Linked DNA regions of Oryzias latipes. The protein of the gene in region 1 purifies or fractionates together with the protein of each later gene. This does not show direct contact. Links are inferred from orthologs where the notes say so. Each region holds a gene or a part of one and is shown in the gene's direction. Other genes may lie near its edges. The genes, in order: serine/threonine-protein kinase 3, map1b, ras association domain-containing protein 6 and microtubule-associated protein 1B-like.

Region 1 (5,906 bases):
TCATCTCTGCTGGTGTTTTGCTTCAAAAATATCATGTACAGTTTGGAAATGCAGCTCATATGTCTAGTTTAATTGCAAAGATTTATGTTTATTCATTACATAAGTTAGAATGACTTCTGTAGAGTTCTTCTTCACATCCTGTTTTGTTTCAATAAACTATGTTGTGACAAACCTTCAACCTTATTTTTACCCAAATTTTTACCTGTTTAAATAAAAGTACACAAGCTTTGCAGCAACGTTTTCAACGTTTTCAAAAAAACGTTTTCAAAAAACTAAAATATATAATACATTTAAATATTTAAAATATATTTTTTAATAGTCTTTAATGGTCCTTGGATCTTTTCATTTCTTCCCTCCATTCCTCCACACTCTTCCCGTCTGCAGCTGCGCAGTTAGGCGTCCCAGAAATCCGTTTCTGCAGGTGGTCTGCACAACCTGTCGGCGGACTTCTGTCCCTGCTGGAAGGTCTTGCTCTGGTGCTGCAGCTGCTGCCTCCAACACTTTCCTCCTCCTGAAGGCGGTGGTCCTGGGCACACGCTCAGGAGGAGGAGGAGGTGATGGTGGTGGAGCCTCAGGGGCGGCTAGGATTCATCATTGGAACGTGTTGCTGCAGAGGCGTCTTCTCCTCTGGCATCTTGTCGTCGAAGGGCTGTCCCGCCTGAACCAAGGACAGCCCTTCAGCTGCAGGTATAGGCTGCAAGGAAACAGCTGGAGCAGCAGGAAGGAGTCCAGCTTCCTGCTCAATCACAGCCCTTTCCCACTTTTTCTGCCGGCTGGAGAACTTGAAGACACAGAGTATGCTGGTCCCAGGATGCTGGGATTTAGGAAAAGATACAACATCAGACCGAAGAAGTTAAAGGCTCTCACAACTGTGAGCAGAAAGTGAAAGTTTCAAAATTTAAAAGCGCATCTTTTAATAAAAACACAAACATTCAACATCGTTTCAGCACTTAAAACCATCGATTTCTCGTTAAATCAAAGGAAAAACAGCACTTACGTCCAACCAGGAAGACGGCAGTCATGACAGTAAAAGAAGGGGGGCGGGGGCGAGAAATTGGAACAAATCCAGCTCTCTGATTGGACCCCCAAAGTTTCAGAGTTGAAATTGGAACGAATCAGGCCATTTGATTGGTTGAGAAGTTGGAACATTTGGAACATGTAATGAAAACATGATGAGTTTGAACCAAAAATACGTCAGCTGCCCTGGACACGGCATCTCTGGTGCAGCAGTCGCGGTCCACATAGATCAGCTGGGGGGAGGAATCTTGGTGAATTGACACGGCCTCATAAGCACAGTCGCCATCCTAAACAGACCCTCGTGTTGTAGCCATAAACCGTGAGCAGTCAGAAAGGCAATGGAAGAACGGGCATAGGTGGAGGTGATAGAAATTGCTCCCTCTCATTGCTTCAAGCCAGGAACGACTCACAGTGAGTTAGTTAGTGAATCCTTCTTCCATCAGCAAGAGCACTAAAGATGAAAGGGGGCTGGGTCTTTTAGCATGACAACGATCCCAAACACACTGCCCGGATAAAAAAGGAGTAGCTTCTTAACAGCAGTTCAAGGTCCTGGTTTGGCCTAGCCTGTCAGATCGCAACCCCCATAGAAAATCTTTAAAGGGGAATGGGCTAAAATACCAACAACAGTTTGTGAAACCCTTGTGAAGACTTACAGAAAACGTTTGACTGCTGTCATTACCAAAAGAGGGTATGTAACAAAGCATTGAGTTGAACTTTCCTTAATTGTTTTTTCTCATTTAGTCTCTCATAGTTGAGGTATCCCTGTGATGAAAGTTACAGGTCTTTCTAATCTTTTTAAGTGGGAAAACTTGCACAAGTGGTGGCTGACTTTTTTGCCCCACTGTATCGGAATAAATTGATATAATATAGGCCCTTTTATGGGAAAGAAATGTCTAAATGTGGTGAAACTGAGACATAATTTTCCTGAGGTTAATTTTTACATTCGGCGCCCCATACCCTTTAAATGAATCCCAATAAAATCTAAAATTAGTACATACTATTCCTCGGACATAAATCAATTCTTTGTTTCCAAAATAATGCCAGTGTAACGTGAAAACATTTATATAACTTTAAAATTACATCTTTAAAAATTAAACAAAAAATTACAGTGCAATTTGAGTTTGTTGTTGAAGTTGTTGTTTTTTTGCTGTCATTTCTTTCATAAAAAACACAGGCCACGTTTTCCCGACTTTGTAGGTAACCCTTGAAGCCGCGAGGTGGCGGTAATGCGTTAGATCTTTTGTGCATTGCCCTCACTAGATTCCACGAAGAAGATGAAGCGCCCATCTCAGCTGGCCCTCTGCTAGTTTCTGACAACAACGCGTCTTGTCTGCCGACAATGTTCACACGTTCGTTCCATAGTGACAAAACGGCAATCTTTTTTAAAAGCGCTCCTTAAATTTACGTTTTCGAGTTGATTCATGATGGAGCCAACCGCGCCTAAAAGGTTTGTAAAGATTCCAATTGTTCAAACTTTAGCATAATCGGATGCTAGCTGAGCCCCTACTAGCTAATGCTAAGCTAACTCATTTAGTCGTTAAACTCCAGTGGTTTTGTTTGAAACTTTCTATTTACATGGATATAGGCCCTACTATTCTGTACTTCCTCACTTCAAAATTGACGTTGAAATTTCGAAACGGTGACACATTTTTAATCACAATTTTAAGGAACAACAAAAAAGTGTACATTTTATAAAACGTCTTGCCTTTTGTCCCTACAGGCAAATTTAATGTATTTAAAACGTGCGCGTACAGCAATTAAAATAACGAAAACAGTAGCAAATTTTATTTACAAAATGTAATTTAATTTATTGCGTTCTTCAAAACCAGTTAAGTATTATTTTGTTATGCAATTACATCATAAGCATATAATGTACTTTTCTGTTTGGCATTATATTTTAATTTTAAATACATTTGAAACTTTAACATGTTCATAACCTAATATTTATAGAAATATTTTCTATCTGCTGTTTTTATTAGAGCTATAGTAACAAGGTAATTTCCAATTTTTGTATCAATAAAGTTTAATTCAGTTGTATTTTGTTGTATCATATACAGTACAATACATAAATCAGACTTTGCACACACAATTGGCTTTTTTATTTGGTTGCTTTGTTGGTTTTCCTCATTTTATTGAATTTTATATTTGAAATTAAATGTGAATTTTACTAATACAGTATCATTGTGTTGACAAAATAAGTTAGGTTTTAATACTTTTTATGGTTGACAGTAATCCTGAGTGAGTGAAACTACATCTTCTTAAAACCTTTTCACATGACGAGCAAAAACCCACAGGGCCTTAATCAAGTAACATGAAGTCACTTCCTGGTCATTTTTGAAAGCCGTTTCATTGGAGGATTTCTAGTTGTGCTGTTTTTAAGCCTGTTATTGAAAAACTAAGAAAACACTTCAAGTCTTAACTATTGTGTTGAAATCCATACTGATAGCAATAAACAATTAACAAATCTGTCTTTTTTGGTAGACATTTTATTTGTTTCTTGCTCTCTGTTAAATATGGTAATCAAAGCAAAATTAATTAAAACGTATTTATATTAATTGAGTAAATAAATCTCATATTGTTCCCTCTGCATTACCTAAAACTATCTGGGCTATTTATTATTTATATTGTCTATTGATGTCAATAATAAGATGACTTTCTTTAAACTGCAGCAAGCTGAAAAAGCTGAGCGAGGACAGCTTGACAAAACAGCCAGAGGAAGTGTTTGATGTATTAGAAAAACTTGGTGAAGGGTAAGAACTTTGATTCCTTTTTTCTTTTCATCCTGTACTTTCCTTTTTTACAGTTGATTGTTGTGTTATACATTGGTTTTGCGCACCCTGGTGTGGTGTGTGACTAGCTTTGGTGTGTGCTTAGTTCCTATGGCAGTGTCTTTAAAGCCATTCATAAAGAGTCAGGACAGGTTGTGGCCATCAAGCAGGTTCCAGTGGAGTCAGATCTACAGGAAATCATCAAAGAGATCTCCATCATGCAGCAGTGTGACAGGTGAGAATTCCAGATGTCTCTGCAAATGCTTATCCGTGTCATGTGGAGTACATTAGATGATCAAAACTATCCAAAGAATTAGTCAAACTCAAGCTCCTCTGCACTCTGATGTTTGCAGGAATACTTCCCTTTTTTTGAGGTTTAAATACAAACTTTGCTCTGAACCTCTTTCCAGCCCTTATGTAGTGAAATACTATGGCAGCTACTTCAAAAACACAGACCTTTGGATTGTCATGGAGTACTGCGGAGCTGGATCCGTTTCTGACATAATCAGACTCCGCAACAAGACGGTGAGCCTTTTAAGTTTATGGTTAGAATGTGTTGTAAGATTGATCTGTTAGATTTCTTCCCTACTTGAAAAGAAACACTTAAAAGAAGCAGAAATAATCCAATTTTGACTACAGTTAGTCTATTTGGGCTGAAGAAATAATGTATTTATTTATGACTACCCTGATCTTTTATTAACACCAAGGTTTATCTCGCCCTGCCCTTTTTTGTTTTGTTTTTGCTTTGCTTTCATGGTCCAGCTGACAGAAGATGAGATTGCCACCATCCTTAAATCAACCCTGAAGGGTCTTGAATACCTTCACTTCATGAGGAAGATTCATCGTGACATCAAGGCTGGAAACATCCTTCTCAACACTGAGGGTCACGCGAAACTGGCAGATTTTGGAGTAGCAGGACAGTTGACGGTAAACAAGAAGAAATGATCCACTTATGTTTATTTGATTTGTGTAACTTGGTCTGGAATTTTTTTTTTTGATCCACACAAATCATACTTAGATCTATTTTAAACATGCTCCCAATAACGATAAAACTGTTTTCAGCCAGCCAAAATCCAAAAACCTGTGTCATTTCCTAGGACACAGGAAATTCACCTCTGAGTTGCAGCGTGGAGCAACGCCCCCATTCCCCATCACCCATATCTGAGAGCTGTTTGTACTCTCCCTTTTGCTTACACCTCCTCACACCCCTAACCTAACATTATCGCTGCAACAAAAATAGCGAGCAATATTGGAACAATCCAACCGGACCAGTTTTGATCTAGATGCCAGCTCAGACGAGGAATACGAAGACGTTCGTGGATGTAGTCGTCTACAAGTGGATGCATCAGAATTAAGCAGAGCAGGAAAAAAGCTAAAAGAAAAACCCACCCTTTTCATCAGAGCATGACTTTAAAGCCAAATGATGTTCTTGTTTACTTACTACTGAAGGATACCATGGCAAAGAGAAACACAGTGATTGGTACCCCGTTTTGGATGGCACCAGAGGTGATCCAAGAGATCGGCTACAACTGTGTTGCAGACATCTGGTCTCTGGGCATCACATCCATCGAGATGGCAGAAGGCAAACCTCCATATGCCGACATCCATCCTATGAGAGTGAGTGCTAAAATGTTTGTTCGTAATCTTCCTTTTCCTTTGTTTTTGTTTCTCATCATTTCCTGTAAAAAACGTTCCCCTGCAGGCCATTTTCATGATCCCCACCAACCCTCCTCCTACGTTCAGGAAGCCGGAGCTTTGGTCGGATGACTTCACAGACTTTGTCAAGAAGTGTTTGGTGAAGAATCCTGAGCAGAGAGCCACAGCCACTCAGCTGCTTCAGGTCAGAAGAAGGAAGATAAAGCCCACGTGTAACTTTGATTAAATTATGCAGAACAATTTGCTTTAAGCAATAATATGTTTTTTTGTTTCGTTCTCCAGCATCCATTTATCAGCCAAGCCAAGCCTGTCACAATCCTGAGAGATCTCATTACAGAAGCTATGGAGATGAAAGCTAAAAGACAGCAAGAGCAGCAGAGAGAGCTGGAGGAGGAAGAGGACAACTCTGTACGTTACCAAAAAAACCAAACAGTAGTGATGTAGTTAAACTTTCCCATAGAGAAC
Region 2 (5,717 bases), on another chromosome or scaffold:
GTAGATTTTACCTTTCATCTATTACAGAAACTGGTCATAGAATCCAGCAAAGAGTGGAGGAATAGCTGTAGAAGCAGTCTGATCCTGATCCGATCAGGAATCCACAGGCATCAGATCTGCACATCCCCCGCCATAATACAACACAATAAAAAAATGAGCTGCCAATGTTATTAGAGGGAAAACCTTCATCACCGTGTACCACAGCCTTGTATGTCATTGTCTTGATGATCAGCTGTCCTGTTTTCAAAAACAAACTATAAACTGTTAGATTCTCCCGCTGGAAAAACCTGGACATATTTTATGTCTTTTATGTCTCTTTCAAAATAAAACCTGCCAGTTGCAATTAGCATCAGGACCCACCGACACACACTTCCTTTTTGGGAATGGAAGGAAAAACACAACAAAAAAAAAAAGAGTCCTGTGATCTGAGGTCCTTTCATTTGAGGCTGACTGTCTTTAACCCCGGCGGTTCTGATCACACGATTCTGCAGAACAAGCACTTGTTTCTGTTCCATTTTTTCAGAATAAAAGGTAATTCTTTCACATTTCCATCAGAGCAAATATCAACATGAAATGAGCTTTTGGCACATGTCTGCATCTTGCACACATGATTTGGTCCTGTCTCAACCTTCATAATTACTGGAGAAATATCTTTCAGGTCCTATCCCACATCTATGGAAAAGATTTCACACCTAATTTCCGGGGTTGGTATTTTTGGAATCATGACACCTCAACATAAAACAAATCAATCCCAGGGAAGTGCCATTGCATTCGCCACTCTTCTCGCACATAGACGGATTTTATTCCATTGGAAATCTGACGAAGCTCGTTCGGTCTCCCAATGGTTAAAATAGTTACCGTAATTTCCTTCCTGCCTTTGAAAAAGCTCACATACAAGGTAAAATCAACACAACAAAAATTTTCAGTGACATGGATCCCTCTTATCGAATATGTGATAATATGTACCTTTGATGTTTGATGACTTGGATGTGAGGAATAGAGACTGTTATCAATCATGCTTTCTTTTTAGTGTTCCTTCATCTGTTTAAGAGCCTCGTGGGTTAGGAGGGAGGGTACTTTCTTCTCTTTTCTGTTTCACTTTTTAGTTTTATCTTACCTTTTATTTATTTATTTATGTATAATTGCATATTTTTGGTCTATAAATATCAATTCAACGATACTGTAATTGAATACTGTGGATGAAAAAGCTGACAATAATAGGAATGAGCTTTTGCCAACGAACCAATGCAATTTCTGACTAATTCACAACAAACCCACAAAAATCTAGGAATTAGGTTTCTGCACAACTGCTTTGAAATCTGTCAACATTATCAGTTCAGTACAAAGGGAATTATCTTTTTTTGCTGTAAAGGGCAGCAAAAGGGCATCTTCATGAGAACACTTGGCATTATATATTTTAATTAAACACTTTATAATTTTTCAAAATAGATATTAGAGGAACAATATATTCCACATTCCACAGCCCACAAAACTTTGGAAACATCCCACAATGCAGCTCATCAGCAGAATTGACTGAAAAAGGGGCTTTTGTTTTCCTAATGAGCCTAGCTTTACCAGTAAAATGACGATGACATTTTAAGATTAATTTATGTTTATTCAGGGACTTCAGCATTTAAAGCCTTTATTTTAGCATTTTTCAACTTTGTTGAGACAATTTCAATGCTGAAAGAGTCAACTGAGCATTTACAAATAAACGTATTTTTTTTAGCTACTTAATGATTTTTCTCTACATTGTTCTACAATTTTATTTAGGATTTTATTAGCAATGTTTACAGTTATTTGGTTCAATTGTAGCAGGGTTTTTATTTACTGTTGTAGTAAAGATTTGTTTTTTGTTTTTTGCTGTTTAGCACTAATAATGTGTGGCTCAATTACCCCTTTGCACCTACTTCTCAGTTATTTGAATATTTTTAGCAAAAGAAGAACAATAATCAGCTCCAAAGCTCTTTTCCTTTTTTTTTTGCAGGAAATGTCATTAATTGAATTAAAAAAGACAAATTTTAGTCATTTCAAATTAATCTTTTGGGAAAATCCTTGTGGTTTCTTTTTGTCCAGAAAGTCAAAAGTGCATGAAAACATGCATAAGAAACAACGATTTCTGAAAAGGAGCAGTTAGCAAATATTCTGCTTTATTTGACTTTAAATTAATGAGTGAAATAAAGTGATGGATGTGCAGAGATTACAGTCCAAAGCGGCACATATCTGACTTCCGGATGCACCCTCTCTATTGCGGATGACATCAGCTGAGGAGTGAGTGTGCGAAATCGCTCCCGGCGCGCGTTCCTGTGCCCGGCCACGGACGGAGCGTGACACAATGTCTGCCGGTATAAAACAGCCAGGGCCACTCCTTTAAGGGCTCCACTCGAGTGTCTGGGGACCACTCCAGCAGTCTGTGGCGAATAAGATCAGAGGGAAGAGGACGAGGAGGAGGAGGCAGACTGCTGCTTGGATAAACCGCACAGACAGACAGGAGAAGCAGCGCAGAGGATGGCTACACTTGTAGAATCCGCAGAAATGGAGGTTCTGGGCAGCAGCATCGGAGCAGCATCCTCCAGTCCGTCCCATCACTTCAACGACGGCAAATTCTACCTGCTGGTGGTGATCGGGGAGATCACCAGCGACGATCAGCTCAAGTGTGCCATTGCAGACATTGAAAAAGGTAAGATGGAGATGTGCGAGACTGTGGGTGTGGGCCACTGACACCTCAAGTCCCCAAGAACTCTTTCAGGAGAGATATAGTGCCTGAAAGTTTGAATTTGTTTTGTCATTAAGAGGAATGTTACGGTGGAAATGATGCCAGGCCAATTACGCATGCGTTTTAGAGCTTCAAAATCACACTAAACCTTTTTTTATTTGACAGATTAAAAAAATATTATTTATTTTATTTATTGATGCAGCTCAGACTGCGGGGGTAGATCCTAACCGTTTCCCAGAAGGCATCCTTGCTGTAAACGCGTCTTCTGCAGCATCACCTCCAAAAATGCATTTCTAGAAGTCGGTCTAAGCAGCACTTTTTCCATCTTGGAGCTTCTACTGAGGCCTTTTGTTCGTCAGGAGGCGGACACATCGAGATGGGGGGGGGCTGTCTGCTCTCTTCTGTGTTTTTTTCCCCCCAAAAAACGCGATTTTAGGCTCAAATTGTCACTTTTTTGTGATTAATAAAACAAAAGCAGGCGGGATTTTCCTGCTGCTGTGACAAGAAACCATCACGATCCTAATCCTGCATCCAGCTCTCTCATCCCACACCGGCTTGTGGGCGTGGCCCTGTCCGCACTGCGGTCCCTACGGAAAGCCACAAGGGTCCAGATTCAGTTGGAGGAGGGCGTTTCAGAGACTCTCCAGCTGCGGCTGATGCCAAAGAGCTCTGTTTGTTTGAGGGAGCCGTAAGAAGAGGAGAATGTGGCGCAGTAAACGAGGACGCTTTATCTGTAAATAAGAGCATGGTTAAAGAATAAACGAATTTTCTTTATATTTATGTTTTTGTCTACATGCATTATTTATTATTTCAGATTTTACACAATTATTTAAAAAAAATATCAAATGTTCTTGAAACTTTACTTTACAGATGCCCTTCTGTGTTTTTCTTATTCCAAATTACCTATTTTATGGATGAGATGTCATTTTTGTTTGTTTTGATCGATTCTTTTTTAGTTTGATGACTTGGCAAAGTTTATTTGGAGGTCATCATTAGGCCTTGACACTGAAAAAAATGGAGGATATGACACCATGACTCAGTACAGCAGAGACCCCGGGTTCATGTGGCCCACGGCAAAACATAAACAGCACTATGGATGTTTCCTAATATAGATTTCATGGCTTCTGCCAAATCAGTAACCAATCTAAACGTTTTCCAGTGAACAGGAAGTGGGGCAGATGTCTAGACGACTTTTTACACACTTTGGTGTCTTTTTTTTCCCCTTTCTTTTCCTGAAATGTCTTAAAATAGTTTGTGTTGTGCAGGAATCCGTTCCTGGGACACAAATCTGATCGACTGCAACCTGGACCAGGAGCTGAAGCTGTTTGTTTCCAGACACTCTGCTCGCTTTTCTGCAGATGTCAAAGGTAAACAAGAAGAAAAACATATTTGAGACAATTTTTTTCTGTGATGCACAGATGGTAAACAGATTGAAGAGGAAAAAAATCAGAAACCTTGACTCCCTGCTGTTTGAGGATCTGGCCGCTCAGCTGTGATCTGAAAAGCATTTTGCTGCCACGGTTTGATTCTGTTTGTCCCTTCAAATTGAATCGTTAGTCTCTAATCAATACCAAGCTGTTCTGCTTTCATGAAAGGGACTTTCTCCACTTCAATTCCCAGGGAACCTCAATGATCTTATTGATGTAAAAAAAATTAAAAATAAAACACCCTTTATCACCTAAACGGCAACAAATTAAATAGTCACTTTAATTAATTGTCACTTTAAATTGTCACAAAAAATATCCCCTTTTGACTTCAAATCTGTTTGAGGGTTTTAAAAAGTATATGGGCTTCTTAATTTTTATCATTATAAATTGTGCTACGGCTAAGAATCATCCATACACGCTTTTTCTGCAAAATACTTACCGGTATATAAAAATATCCCAGCTTTATTTGTTAAAATGTTCTTCATTGTTTACCAAATAAAGACTTTACTGTTTTCCTTCTTTGTTTTTTTTAAGACGTTCATAGAAAAACCTCATGGCAAAATATGGTTTTGCAAAAATGCTGATTGCTGGGTGTAAAATTGAAAACTTTAATGGTGTTTCTGAACTTCATCTGTTGAAATGTCCAATCTTTGCTTAGTTTACTCACCAAAAAGTTCTAATTTTTTTAGTCTTTGTGTATTGAAAAGTGCATTTACCTCCTCACAGTAAATTTTTTCTATAGATTTGCACAGAACTTTTGTTTCTTCTTTTGCCCCACAACAAAAGGAAACAAAAGAAATGCTGCTTTCAAACTGGGAAACATTTGTTCCTTTGGGTAGTTCACTGTATTTGGCAAATGCGAACACCTGCAACATTGATTTAAAAAAATGCAGAATCATTTTGATTTAAAATCATTTGGAAATATGTCATTGAGAAAGACACGTTTTCTTTCATTGTGTTGTTTTTTTTTTCTTAATCAGTGCACATGAACAGTTGTTAGTGTGTAATTTTTCCAGGGACAGTGGACAGAGACAGTTTTATCCTATCTCAACAGTGAAGTGTGAAGCCAAACCAGATGAAGGTGTAAATCATTTGAGTTTTTTAGCTCTATTTGTCCATTCAAATTGGGTTACTATCGGCAAACCAGAACAAGCTTTTCTGTTTTGGAGAAAATGGCTTCTTGTTATCAAATCTATTCTTCTATTTAAATCACAAAATCTATGCGAGTCTGTCAGCATAACATTGGATCACCAATATTAATACTTTCTATGATATTTAAGGATCTGGCAACATAGCTCTTGAAGTATTTTCAACTGAAACAGTGAAATGACATTTGCTAGGAAACCGTGGTGGTGTGTAGTTTAAAATCATTAAAAGAAAAACCTTCAAATGAGTTTGAATGCACACTGCTTCTCAGTGATGTACCCTGCCACATGGCAGTGAACCTAAATCTCTTCTTATTGCTGTCAGAATTCAGGCTTTATCCCCCTCTCCGTATTTGTAGCATGGCATTTTTAAAGCTGAATCCTTTACGAGGTGAAGGAGCAGTTCTTTTAAGAGGGAGCAGGTTCAGC
Region 3 (5,240 bases), on another chromosome or scaffold:
GAAAAGCAAATTTAGTCAAACTCTATGCCTCTTTCAATAACTTTGTGTTGTTTTATGTTGAGCTTATCCTGCTCCTGCTGAAAATATTATTATTGCTAACACTGAATTTTAAACATGTTTTTAATGCTTAATTTAATGTATGCAACCAAAGGCTCTGTTCCTTATGAGAGTGCTACCCTGCGTCCTACAAGACGCAAGAATCAAGAACTGGAGTTGGAGTCTAACCTATTTCGCTGTATGAGCGATGCGTCATTAGTGAAGAGGAGGAGGCGAAAGGGAAAGTCAGCAGCACAAAGAGAGACTGAAAGACAGCACCGCTTCTCCATAAACGGACACTTCTATAACTATAAAGTGAGTTCCTGTTACCATAGATATTGGTTTGTATTTTTAGTCATAAACCTCTCTGATTCCATGTGCTCATTGTTGTTTCTGCAGACCTCCATCTTCACACCATCTTTTGGTACTTCAACTAAAGTGCGAATCTCCAGCAGGATGACCACTAACCAAGTCATTGAGCAGCTTTTAAATAAGTTCAAGGTGATTTTATTTCTCAGTTTGGAAACTTTAATGACTACAGATGACCAATAATACATATTGTTTTTTTATGTCCCACATCAGTCCTGCACTACAAGATCGACACTGTTTTCGCAATACTTCTTCTTTTCTGTACCTTTGAGTGAACATTTCAGCCCATAAACTGAAAAACTCACCAAAATTACAAAAAGGAAAAGGTGACATCATAGCAGGTGCAATTGTGAAAAAAACTAAAATGGTCAAAACCTCAAAAAACCTTTTAAACAACCAAAAAACAATAAGGTTGCTATGAAGATAAAATTAACAGAAAAGACGCCATTTTTTTAATTAATTTGTCTTGTGCAGCTCTGATCAGGGTGGCAGGGGAAGAAGGGGAGAGAATGATATGGGCATGTGGATGCCACTCAGCTAGTAAGGGTTGCCAGGAGGGCCCCGCAATGCTGCTGCCCCCGCAATGCTGCTTGCAAATTATTTTTTTTAATTAATGTAAAGACGCTGAATATGTGTTTTATTGTTTGCATTATAGATAGAGAATGATCCAGAGGAGTTTGCTCTGTATTGCATTCATCAGAGTGGAGGTAAGAAAAAAAGGAAAAAGTAAGGTGTCAAATTAAAAAAAGTTGGTTATGCATGTTGCTTTCTTTTGATCAGAGAAGAGGAAGCTGAGCAACAAAGATCTACCACTGTGGGAGCGGGTTCTGTATGGGCCCTCTGATGACATCATGAAGATCTTTCTGATGGACATGCATGAAGAGGAAGTCAGCAATGATGTAAACATAAATACTTAAGGGGTGACATTCACTTTAGAATTTTTAATGATTTTCTATTAAAGTAACCAACTAATTGAACAGAAACCATTTTTTTCAGACCAAAATCTTCGATCTTAAACAGTCCAAGGGAGTTTTATTGCTCACTGAGGTCATTTTTAAGGACTTGATTGATAAATAGACAATAAAATCCTAAAATAATATATTATTAGTTTTAAATAAAGGTTATGTCAATTTTTATTGTCCCTTATTTTATGTTACATCATTACAGCAAACTTTAGTTTAGCAAATAAACTACTTTGTTTGCTAAATATTTGTTTTAGAGCAACTTAATAGTTTTAAGAAATACATTCTTTAAATTTTAATTTAATTTTAATTTGTTTTTGTTTTTTTCCAGAAAACATATTTTTCATTTAGGTTTGAATTTTTTGTTATAGTTGCACTGTTTTGTTTTATCAGGTTGCTCAGTATCTGAACTTGGAGCACTCAATTCTGGAGCAGGTTCTTCTGCACCTCAAAGAGGAAGAGAACAGAGAAATACAGAGTGTAATCATTAAGTGAGTATATGATCCAACACATAGGCTTACACAAATGGACAACATTCTTGGTACTCTTCTATTATTTTCTTTTTTTTTAAAAAAGCCCAATGGTCACTTAAAAGATTAAGACTATTAACAGTAATTCCATGTATCTTTGAAGTTGTTCCTCAAAATCATTTTAGAGATTATGATATTTACCTCCAGGAAACTTTGAAATCAATTTGACAGTGGAGACATGTTCAACTGTGTGTCCTATGTATTCTTTTATTGAAGATCACAGGTTTATTTACAATTAGTCTGTTTATTTTGAGAGGGAGAAGCATATGGAGTCCTATACTGTTCATAATTAGATAAATAAATATTTAATTAAATAAATAAATATGAACTCATGCAAATACACAATAAACCAATAAATCTCTTATAAATATATAAAAAGATCATGAAATTGTGAAAAACCTGCATACTAATTTTAAATTAGCCATTATATTATTCAATATATTTCATTTTGCTTTGTTCATTATTTTAAAACAGCATTTTCAAATATTCATTTTTAATCATGTGGAATATTATTATAATTCTGTCTTCTTTCAGAAGCTCGTATTTCAAAATCAATATTTTCCAAAGTAGCTTTGTTTTTTCATTTCATGTTGGTGTTTTTCACAATGGCGTATTTATTTCATGAAGAGCTTTTTCAGGAGAATGAGTCCATCTGTCAATCAGTGAAAGTAGGCGGGATCTAAACGCCCATTGGCTCATCCATGGAAATCGACTCATATTCCTCGATACCCGCACAGCTGTGTGCCGGTCGGAGAGGTGACATATTTCAGCAATATCTGCACGGCTTTGCTGACATTAGAGATCAAATAGAGACAAACAATCTGTCTGCTGCAGAAGATGCAAACATGAATGACTCTGTTTTTGTAGTTTGAGGGTTTGTGTGGACCAAACCACAGAAGAGCTCCGGTCGTCCACGTCTATAAGTCCCCTGTTGAAACATTCCTCATTCTAACGCCATTCACTCAGAGCTCACATCGTGCCTTATGTCGGCTCGCAGGAGGTGAGCTGGCGGACCAACAGTCAGTCCAGGCAGCTGTGCAAAGCAGAACAAGCCTGCTGAGGCCTCCTGAACCTTATGATATTTTTCTATTTTCAATGAGACAATGATTATAATCAGGTCCTCTGATTTTATTTTTCCCTCCCGGGAAAATGTTGAACCTTTCCTGCGATGACGTTTCTGACCGTGGTCGGAAAACGCAGTGGAGATTCGGGATTGATTGAGCAATTCTGCAGCCAGGGCTTACTCCAAGAATCAGGCTCTGTACTTGGAGGAAACATTTTTTATTATTACTTTTCCGGGGGACTGGGCAACAGACGCTTAACTTGCGCTCACACACACACTCTCGCGCTGCCTGGGCGCTCTGATTTACACGTAATTTAAGACGTAGTTTGACTGCAGGACCTGAAGCAGAGGCTCTCTCTGGGATGATCTCATGAACTCAAACATGGAAACATTGTTATCATGTAGAACTATTCAAAATAAATAAACCTGATCTTTTAACACTCCATGTACATTGTGCATCCATGCATTGGTACTGAGATAAGCACAGGCAACCGTTCCATGTGGCTATCAGGCTAAAGTCATTAGCTGGTAGCCCATCCCACACGCTGCATGTTGCGTTCATGGAACTCCAGTTCATAGAAGTTTTGTGGAACTCCAACAACCACCCAGCCTAACTTAGGCCACTACTAGATGTTAATGAGAAGATGAAAACCGCTGAGCCGACCACAAAATCACCTGAATTATACACACTCGCCCAAAGCCACTTTTATCCGCAAATTTAGAACAAAAACTGCCCAATTTCTAGTAACACTGTGGATGTGTTGAGGTGCATCCTCCCCCTAGTGTTGAGGAGAGTGCATTGCGCCGTCACGTTTGGTGAAGCATCTTCGATTGATGTAGTCAAGGTGCTGCTGCTCATGTCTGAGTAAAGGAATAGCCAATCACAAAAGTCTCTCCGCCTTGTCTAGTTTGATTGACAGACAGAGACATTCTCCTGAAAAAGCTATTCATGAAATAAATAAGCCATTGTGAAAAACTGCAACATGAAATAAAAACAAAGCTACTTTGGAAAATATTGATTTTGAAATCCAAGGTTCTGAAAAAAGACGTAGAATTATTATAATATTCCACATGAATAAAATGAATATTTTAAAATGCTGTTTTAAAATAATGAACAGGTTTTTAAAGCAAAATGAAATATATTGAATAATATAATGGCTTATGTAAAATCGGTGTGCAGGTTTTTCACAGTTTCATGATCTTTTTATATATTTATAAGAGATTTATTGGTTTATTGTGTATTTGCATGAGTTCATATTTATTTATTTAATTAAATATGTATTTATTTAATTATGAACAGTATAGGACTCCATAGAAGCAGTCTTTGGTTTGTATCGCAGTAAACACGGACCACAGAAAGTAAATGAGAGATTTCTCAAGGTATTAAAAAAAAAACCTTTTGATTTGAGACAGTTGGAGCAGTTTGCCAAAGAATGGATCAAAAATGTTTTTGATAGATGTAGAGAAGCTGTTTGATTGCAGTGACTGCAATTGTATTTATAAAAAAAATATTTTTGCTCGTTTAGGTTCAGGTTTTTAGTTACCAGTTTTTAATAAAACTAAATGGTCCTCCAAAACTGCATTATATCTGACCTAAACAATTTTAACCCTTGTGCTATCCTAGGTATTTTAACATTGGGAGTTGGGTCATCTAGACCCACTAGACAGTGCGCTAAACCTTTTTTCTTCAATGATTTGTGATCTTCACTGGTGTCCATGGATTGGTAAATCTTTCCACCTTTATCCACTTTTGTCATGGTAGGGAGAACACGTCAAAGTTAGGGTGGGCTCATCTAAGATAGCACAAGGGTTAATCATCAGCTTTAAACTAACTTAAACACTGTATCTTCTGTTTTCCACGTGTGCAGTTGCCTTGGTTAATGTGTGTCCATTCAAATTTTCGCAGTAATATTTTTGAGCTGATGATAGCGCCAAAGTTCTTGAAAACATTTTCTTCATTGCAGCATGTTTACTACCTTTTCTTCTCTCCCTGTGTGTTTGTCAGGTACCAGCACCAGCACAAACATCTGTCTCATGTGCTGAGCTCCAAAATGTCCCCTCACACTGAGACTACTGTGTGAAAGCACCGTCCAGCCATCCATCCATCCATCCATTTCTAAACCTTCTTATTCATGGTCATGGGGTTGCTGGAGCCTACAAACCTGCAGTTGGGTGAAGGCGGGTACATCCTAGGGAGTTTGCCAGTCCATCATAGCGCCACACAATTTGTAGGGCCTGGAAAAAAAACACACATGCAGAAAGAACTATGCAAACGACACA
Region 4 (6,000 bases), on another chromosome or scaffold:
GGAAACCCGTCCCGACTACAGTTGGGTAAACAGTGGACGGTCCTTCTCTGGGCCCATGGAGCTGGAGCGATCACGATCACTATGCTGGCTCCCGGGAGGCGAGCTGGCGGCCAGACAGAGAGCCGCTGCAGGATGAGGAGCCAGCCTGCTCGGGTCTCCAGACTTCTTCATGATATTTTTCTAGTTTTCATCGAGAGGATAATAAAAAGGTCCCCTGATTTTATTCTTGTTTTTATTTTTACTCTCTGGTTAATGCGGGACAGCAAGCCTTCAAATTCATTCAGCTTAAATCATTTAAATCTCTGCTTTCCTCTGTCTCTTCTGGTGTGCCCCAAGGTTATGTCCTTGGTCCTCTTCTTTTCATTACTCATCTTTTACCCCTTGGCAATATTTTCTGTAAATTTAATATAAATGTTTATTTTTTCTGGATGACACCCTGCTCTATGTATCAAGCAAAGCTGAGTCCTCTCTTCCACCCTCCTCCCTCCCCTCCTGTCTGTCTGAAATCAGAAACTGGTTCACCTTAAACTCTCTCAAACTCAATAGTGATAAAACCGAGCTACTTCTCGTCGGTTCCAAGTCCACCCTTTCCAAAGCCACAAGTTTTACTCTTTCACTGATCTTCCTCCTCCCTGCAGGTGAAGAGTCTGGGTGTCACCCAGGATAGTTCTTTATCTTTTCAGTTCCATTTTAATAACATTGCTCGGTCTGCCCATTTCCATTTACGTAACATTAATTGCCTACACTCCTCCCTCACCATCCGCTCTAATTCTATTTTGGTCCACAGTCAGTAATTCCCTCCTCTTTGGTCTCCCTAAAACAAACCTCAATAAGCTTCAACTTAGACTTAGGCAGCAAAACTGGTCCAGAACTCAGCAGCCTGCATCACCTCCAGAACCTCCTCCTTCAGTCATATCACCCAGATTCTCCACCAGCTGCACTGGCTTCCCATAACCTCCAGAATCAAACTCCTGCTGTTTACCTTTAAGGCCCTCCATAACCTGACTCCTTATCTTACCAACCTACCGTACTCCATTAAAAAACAAAACCTCTGTTCTCTTCTGTCCTCCTCCGTTCAGCTCTCTGTTCCTCCGGCCCGACTCGTTACCATGGGAAGCTGAGCACCTTCAGCTGCTCGGCTCCCAAACTCTGGAATTCCCTCCCTCCGGATCTCCTTAACATTGACCCTTTACGTTCAAAACAAAAAAAGAAAAAAACTCAAAAATCATCTGTTTACTTCTGCCATCTCATCTAGATTCACTTTTGATTTTCTGTCAATTTCTATTTCTTGCACATTTAATGTTTATTTTTGACAGATCAGGGAGCTTGTTCATGCAGATGCACTCGTGGGCATTTGTGATCATTTCATTGACAGCGATTTAAAAAGGAGAAATACTCACAAATGCAATAATGAAGTGATTTCTTACTACATTTCTTTCATAAGAAAAACGTCACACATTTTGAAAACTCTAAAAACACGATTTGGGGGGCAGTTTGACACACATAAGGACTCATTCACGGCATGCTGGTGTTTTTTGTTCCATTTTGATGCAATTTTGTAGTCTGGCCAATAGATGTGACTAGTTTCAGTGTGTCAAATGCTTCACAACCCTGAACCACTTCAATACAATTAGATTCATTTGGGTTCAGAAAGCTTTGGTGTCTCCATCACTAGTAACGTGTGCCAAGAGTGGCTGTGGGCTGCGTGCAGACCCTGAACGCACCCTAAAGCCTTTCTTACAGTTTTACCGTAAAAGTTAAAATATTAATGCAAAAACTTTTGCAGTTCAGCTGCTGTACTAGCGTGGCAGCGATAAGCTGCAGGTACTGTCCTCTGGTGAGAGTGAAAACTGAATTAAAGCCACGTGATTGTCCGCTTGCCTTCTCCCACCACGCGCCTCGCCAAATCCTAGCGTCAGCACGTGAACTCACCGCGTTCGCATGTTCCCCGCAGAAGCGCTGTCCCTTCCCCACCATCATCTTACAGAAACGTTTCTTCCTCTCCAGGAAGAAGTTACATCTGTTGGGAAGCGGGGACGCCATGACGGACATGATGAGCGCGCCGCCGACGCCGCGTTCACGTGCTTAAATGCAGGAAGACCGGGCAAAAAAGCAAAAGTTTACTGTAAACTAGCAGTTTCACCCATTTTAAAAAACACGAAACTGACGCCACATCCGTTTGTGACGTTATTTATGTAGTTAATGTAATTTAGACATTGAATTTTAGATTTAGCAGCAAATACCCCAGTTTTTAGCTCCATAGCAATATTTGAACCGGTTCATTCTTTTCTTAATAATTGGTATCCAAAGTGTTTTCTGTTCAGAAGTCCAACAGCTTTGAAGTTTGGTCTCTTATCTTGGTTAGTTTTAAGTTGTGCTAAATGCTCAACCTGTGATTGGTCAGCTTGACTCATATCTCATCCCTGATTGGTTGTTTCATGGGTCTCGCATCGCCGCAGTCCCGCCTCCGGTCCCAGCGCAGCCGGATGACGTCAGGAGTGGACAGTCCATGATGGCGGCGGAGCGGGGTGGCGGTCCCGGTTCTTCTGGGCCTGATTACTCGGTTCTGGTGGTGGTGGGAGCGCTGCAGACCGCCGACCTACTGGAGCGGCTGTTGAGGCAAGTGGAGGCAGGTGAGTGAATGCTAGACCACAGCAGAACCGAGCCACTGCCGAACTACACGGAGGAAGTCCGCAGGCCCTTCACAATAAAAGCCGACCCAACTAACTAAGTCCTCTGTTTAGTCCTACGCGAGAAACCACCCGAATGAGTACGTTTGAAAATACAGACACATACTTTATGAAAAAAAAAATCTAGTTATTCGTTATTGTTAACACGTCTGTTTTCTTTTTCTGAAGTGATTGCTTTGTTTCCTGTTCAGTTTAGACATGTCTTGTCAAGATGAAAGTCTTCTCACTGGTCTACTGCATAGATCTGGTATCTGATTCAACCCTGATAACATGCAAAACGCTGTGGTCAAAAAAACTTTATGGGCTGAATTATTTGGTTTACTCCACTTAATCCTTATTTTGAAATTCTGTTCCGCCGGATGTTGTTTTGGAAATGTTACGTTTTGCAAGAGGAAAGTTCCAATAATCCGGACACTTTAGTGAAAAAAGAATCACTTTTAATCAGACATCAAAACGTTCAAAATTTGCCTCTTAGTTTTGGGCGGGACTATTGACGTGGAGTAAGCCTGCCACCACTTCCCATCATCCATCTGTTTACACTCCCCTGTGTAGGTGACCCTCACACCCCTAACTTAATATTACCAGTGCAACAATAACAGTATTGGAGCTATCCAGTTGTACAGTTGTGATCCAGATTCCAGCTCAGACAGAGGAAAACAAAGACGGACATGGATCCATTTGTCTGACAGTGGATGCATCAGAATAGAACAGAGCAGTAGCTTTTTCAAACTTCTCATATGTGTTCTCCATCATGAGAAAATGTTGCAAGGACATGTTAAAAACACAAAAAAATACCATTTCATTGTACCAGATTGGCACAAGTCCAGTTTGTGTCAGGCAGACGTGGAACCGGACCGTTTCTACCAACACGGACACAAACTTCAGATGAGAAGGTTGTTGAGGCTCCATCACACAGAGGAAGTTGAACTGCGACACATCAGCAACTTCCTGTTTGCTGAGGAAGTGGCTCATCTGCTATAGATAGGAAAAACTAAGCTGGTGTCCGTCTGACTGAAACGGATTGATCGGAACAGCGTGAGCAGTTTATTTTCAACTTTCTTAACTGCTTTGTTGCTTTGAGACTCAGCAGCATCATCATCATCATCATCATCATCATCATCATCATCGACTTCATGGTCTGCATTTAGAAACTTCTCTCTTTTGTGATAGAGGTACGACTCTCACTGACCGTTGCATCGCTCCGACTGTGCATCAGCGTACGACCCCTGATCTGCCAGGAAGTGAGGACATCTCAGAGCCTCTGCAGTGGTTTTGGACAAAAAGCTGGCTTCTGTGTTTAATCTGAAAAGTTTGACCCGTGGGTTGTGTGTGTTTGTGTGTGGGGTTGGATCTTCTCATTGTGGTTCTTGAATTGTATCAAGCATTTTGGGTCATCCAATCACGGCTTACTGGCAGAGGGGAGACGGGTATTGGAGACGGAGGCTGATGGTAGATCAGGCAGATCTGTGCCGTGGTGTTAGCCATCAATCCTGAATTTGTCTGCAGTGAATTCAGAGGAAGACCTCTGCCTGAAAGAGACTCCTTCCTTATTTCGTTTTCACGTTGCAGACTTCACATTTTAGTTTTCAACCACATTGCTGAGCTCATACATTTCTCAAAATCTCCCTGATGACTTCTGGTTCTCAAGAAAAACTTATCAAAGCTCTAAAAGTGACTTAAACCAGAACCTCTTAGAAACACTTTTGAAATTTGGCTGAATAAAAATAGATTTGTGGGTCATGTGATCACATCAGAGCTGCTCAGCTCTACCTTCTGCTTCTGAATGTCAGTAGACCTCCGTAAAAATGGCAGATTTGACCCTGAAGCGTTTTTTGACCTTTGTTCAAATCCCAACAAGCTGTAGTGTTTTCCTGCGAAAACACTACAGCTTCAGCTTCAGCTTCCTGTCTGCAACAAAGTTGCAGTCAGAGTGTAGAAATGTGGATGTTTTGTTCAAGTTTGACATTAGATTGTTGTGTTGTTGGGGGTCATAGATTGCAAGTAAAAAATACTGTCAACAGACCAGAAACACATGCGTGTGTGCTTAAGCGTCATCTTCCTGTCTGCGCACAGAAATGAACACATCAAAAGCTAAAGCATGGTTGTAAAATGTGTTTTTATGATGCTTACGTCAACATTGGGAGTTGGGTCATCTAGACCCACTAGACAGTGCTCTGAACCTTTTTTCTTCAATGATTTGTGATCTTCACTGGTGTCCATGGATTACATGAAATCTTTCCACCTTTATCCACCTTTGTCATGGTAGGGAGAACACGTCAATGTAAGGGTGGGGTCATCTAAGATAGCACAAGGGTTAACGTTTCTCTAATACTCATAGCTGCAAACCATTGCGAGGCCTCTTTCTGTCCAGCCTCCTTTCATCTGGTCTGGTTTGATTTCACACGGCGCTTTAATCACACATTTCCCCCGACTGAAGCAAACAAAGCGTCAATTCTCCACCAAAGCGCTGAACAAAAGGAGTGAAAGGTCAAATCACATGATTGTTTTAATTGATTCAGTCTTGATCATTCTATGAAGGCCAGATGAGCTCAACTTTATTTTGAGGAAACAAAGAGCGTCAGTGGAGAGGAAAAATGGAAGATGTGGAAGCAGCAGAAGAACCAAACTCAGCGAGGCTTCCTGTTTGCTAAGAGGGCAGCAAGAGACTGACAAAAAGGAACAAAGTCAGATATATTAAGTTATAGCAGTAACACAGACCTATAGAGCTCTGGTCTTCTTAACAACGGCATCTGTGTGTATTTGTCTCTGCTGCGGTTCACTTCACTGTGAATCCAGAGGGACTTTCAGTCAACCAGAGAAACCAAACCAGGACTTTTCAATTCAAGAACTGCCCACCTCTGTCCAATCACAGGCCAGATGTGTACTTTTCCAGTGCTGGACTGGAAGCAGCTGTAGAGGCTCATGGCCTTCCATCCATTTTCCAAACCCACTTAATCCCTTTCAGGGCTGCTGGAGCCTATCCCCACCACTTTCAGGCGAGGGCTGGACAGACCCCTGGTTGGTCGGTCCATTCCAGGGCGTCTGTGTCTTCAATCCAAAACAATTCAGGGGTCTGAACAGTAACTTGTGTTGTTGTGTTGATCAGGCTGTGTTTGTGTTGCAGGTGTGCGTTGTTGGCCCGTTGATCTGAATGTTTCTGTTCTGGATCAGCAGCTGAAGCTCTTCGTGTCCAGACATTCGGCGCTCCTGTCAGCAGATGTTACAGGTGAGAACTGAAGTTCTTCACATCTGCAGGGTTTCGGTTCGGCACATAAGAGACCTGGACTGAGTTTGAAATTATCCATAGAAA

Evidence for each region.
Region 2: the proteins of serine/threonine-protein kinase 3 (region 1) and map1b purify together in Homo sapiens (affinity purification with mass spectrometry; 4 studies listed by BioGRID and IntAct, with this or other methods). This does not show direct contact. The link is inferred for Oryzias latipes from reciprocal best matches to the Homo sapiens genes STK3 and MAP1B.
Region 3: the proteins of serine/threonine-protein kinase 3 (region 1) and ras association domain-containing protein 6 purify together in Homo sapiens (affinity purification with mass spectrometry; 4 studies listed by BioGRID and IntAct, counting the BioPlex papers as one, with this or other methods). This does not show direct contact. The link is inferred for Oryzias latipes from reciprocal best matches to the Homo sapiens genes STK3 and RASSF6.
Region 4: the proteins of serine/threonine-protein kinase 3 (region 1) and microtubule-associated protein 1B-like purify together in Homo sapiens (affinity purification with mass spectrometry; 3 studies listed by BioGRID and IntAct, with this or other methods). This does not show direct contact. The link is inferred for Oryzias latipes from reciprocal best matches to the Homo sapiens genes STK3 and MAP1S.

What each region holds. Positions count from the first base shown.
Region 1 is NC_019869.2:24,049,072-24,054,977, reverse strand, and holds the start of serine/threonine-protein kinase 3, read left to right. Parts: upstream 1-2,278; 5' UTR 2,279-2,438; coding exon 2,439-2,464; intron 2,465-3,686; coding exon 3,687-3,767; intron 3,768-3,891; coding exon 3,892-4,020; intron 4,021-4,195; coding exon 4,196-4,310; intron 4,311-4,547; coding exon 4,548-4,712; intron 4,713-5,234; coding exon 5,235-5,402; intron 5,403-5,487; coding exon 5,488-5,625; intron 5,626-5,723; coding exon 5,724-5,849; intron 5,850-5,906. UniProt on the Homo sapiens protein: Stress-activated, pro-apoptotic kinase which, following caspase-cleavage, enters the nucleus and induces chromatin condensation followed by internucleosomal DNA fragmentation.
Region 2 is NC_019870.2:7,505,419-7,511,135, forward strand, and holds the start of map1b (microtubule-associated protein 1B), read left to right. Parts: upstream 1-2,247; 5' UTR 2,248-2,508; coding exon 2,509-2,680; intron 2,681-3,621; exon of another isoform or gene 3,622-3,721; intron 3,722-3,918; exon of another isoform or gene 3,919-3,981; coding exon 3,982-4,083; intron 4,084-4,170; exon of another isoform or gene 4,171-4,579; intron 4,580-5,119; exon of another isoform or gene 5,120-5,717. UniProt on the Homo sapiens protein: Facilitates tyrosination of alpha-tubulin in neuronal microtubules. Phosphorylated MAP1B is required for proper microtubule dynamics and plays a role in the cytoskeletal changes that accompany neuronal differentiation and neurite extension.
Region 3 is NC_019870.2:20,592,235-20,597,474, reverse strand, and holds part of ras association domain-containing protein 6, read left to right. Parts: intron 1-151; coding exon 152-351; intron 352-435; coding exon 436-537; intron 538-1,060; coding exon 1,061-1,112; intron 1,113-1,185; coding exon 1,186-1,304; intron 1,305-1,760; coding exon 1,761-1,858; intron 1,859-4,965; coding exon 4,966-5,041; 3' UTR 5,042-5,240.
Region 4 is NC_019862.2:5,879,939-5,885,938, reverse strand, and holds the start of microtubule-associated protein 1B-like, read left to right. Parts: upstream 1-2,451; 5' UTR 2,452-2,509; coding exon 2,510-2,633; intron 2,634-5,814; coding exon 5,815-5,916; intron 5,917-6,000. Other genes in the region: trmt13 (tRNA:m(4)X modification enzyme TRM13 homolog), read right to left, coding at 1,933-2,084, 2,244-2,283. UniProt on the Homo sapiens protein: Microtubule-associated protein that mediates aggregation of mitochondria resulting in cell death and genomic destruction (MAGD). Plays a role in anchoring the microtubule organizing center to the centrosomes. Binds to DNA. Plays a role in apoptosis.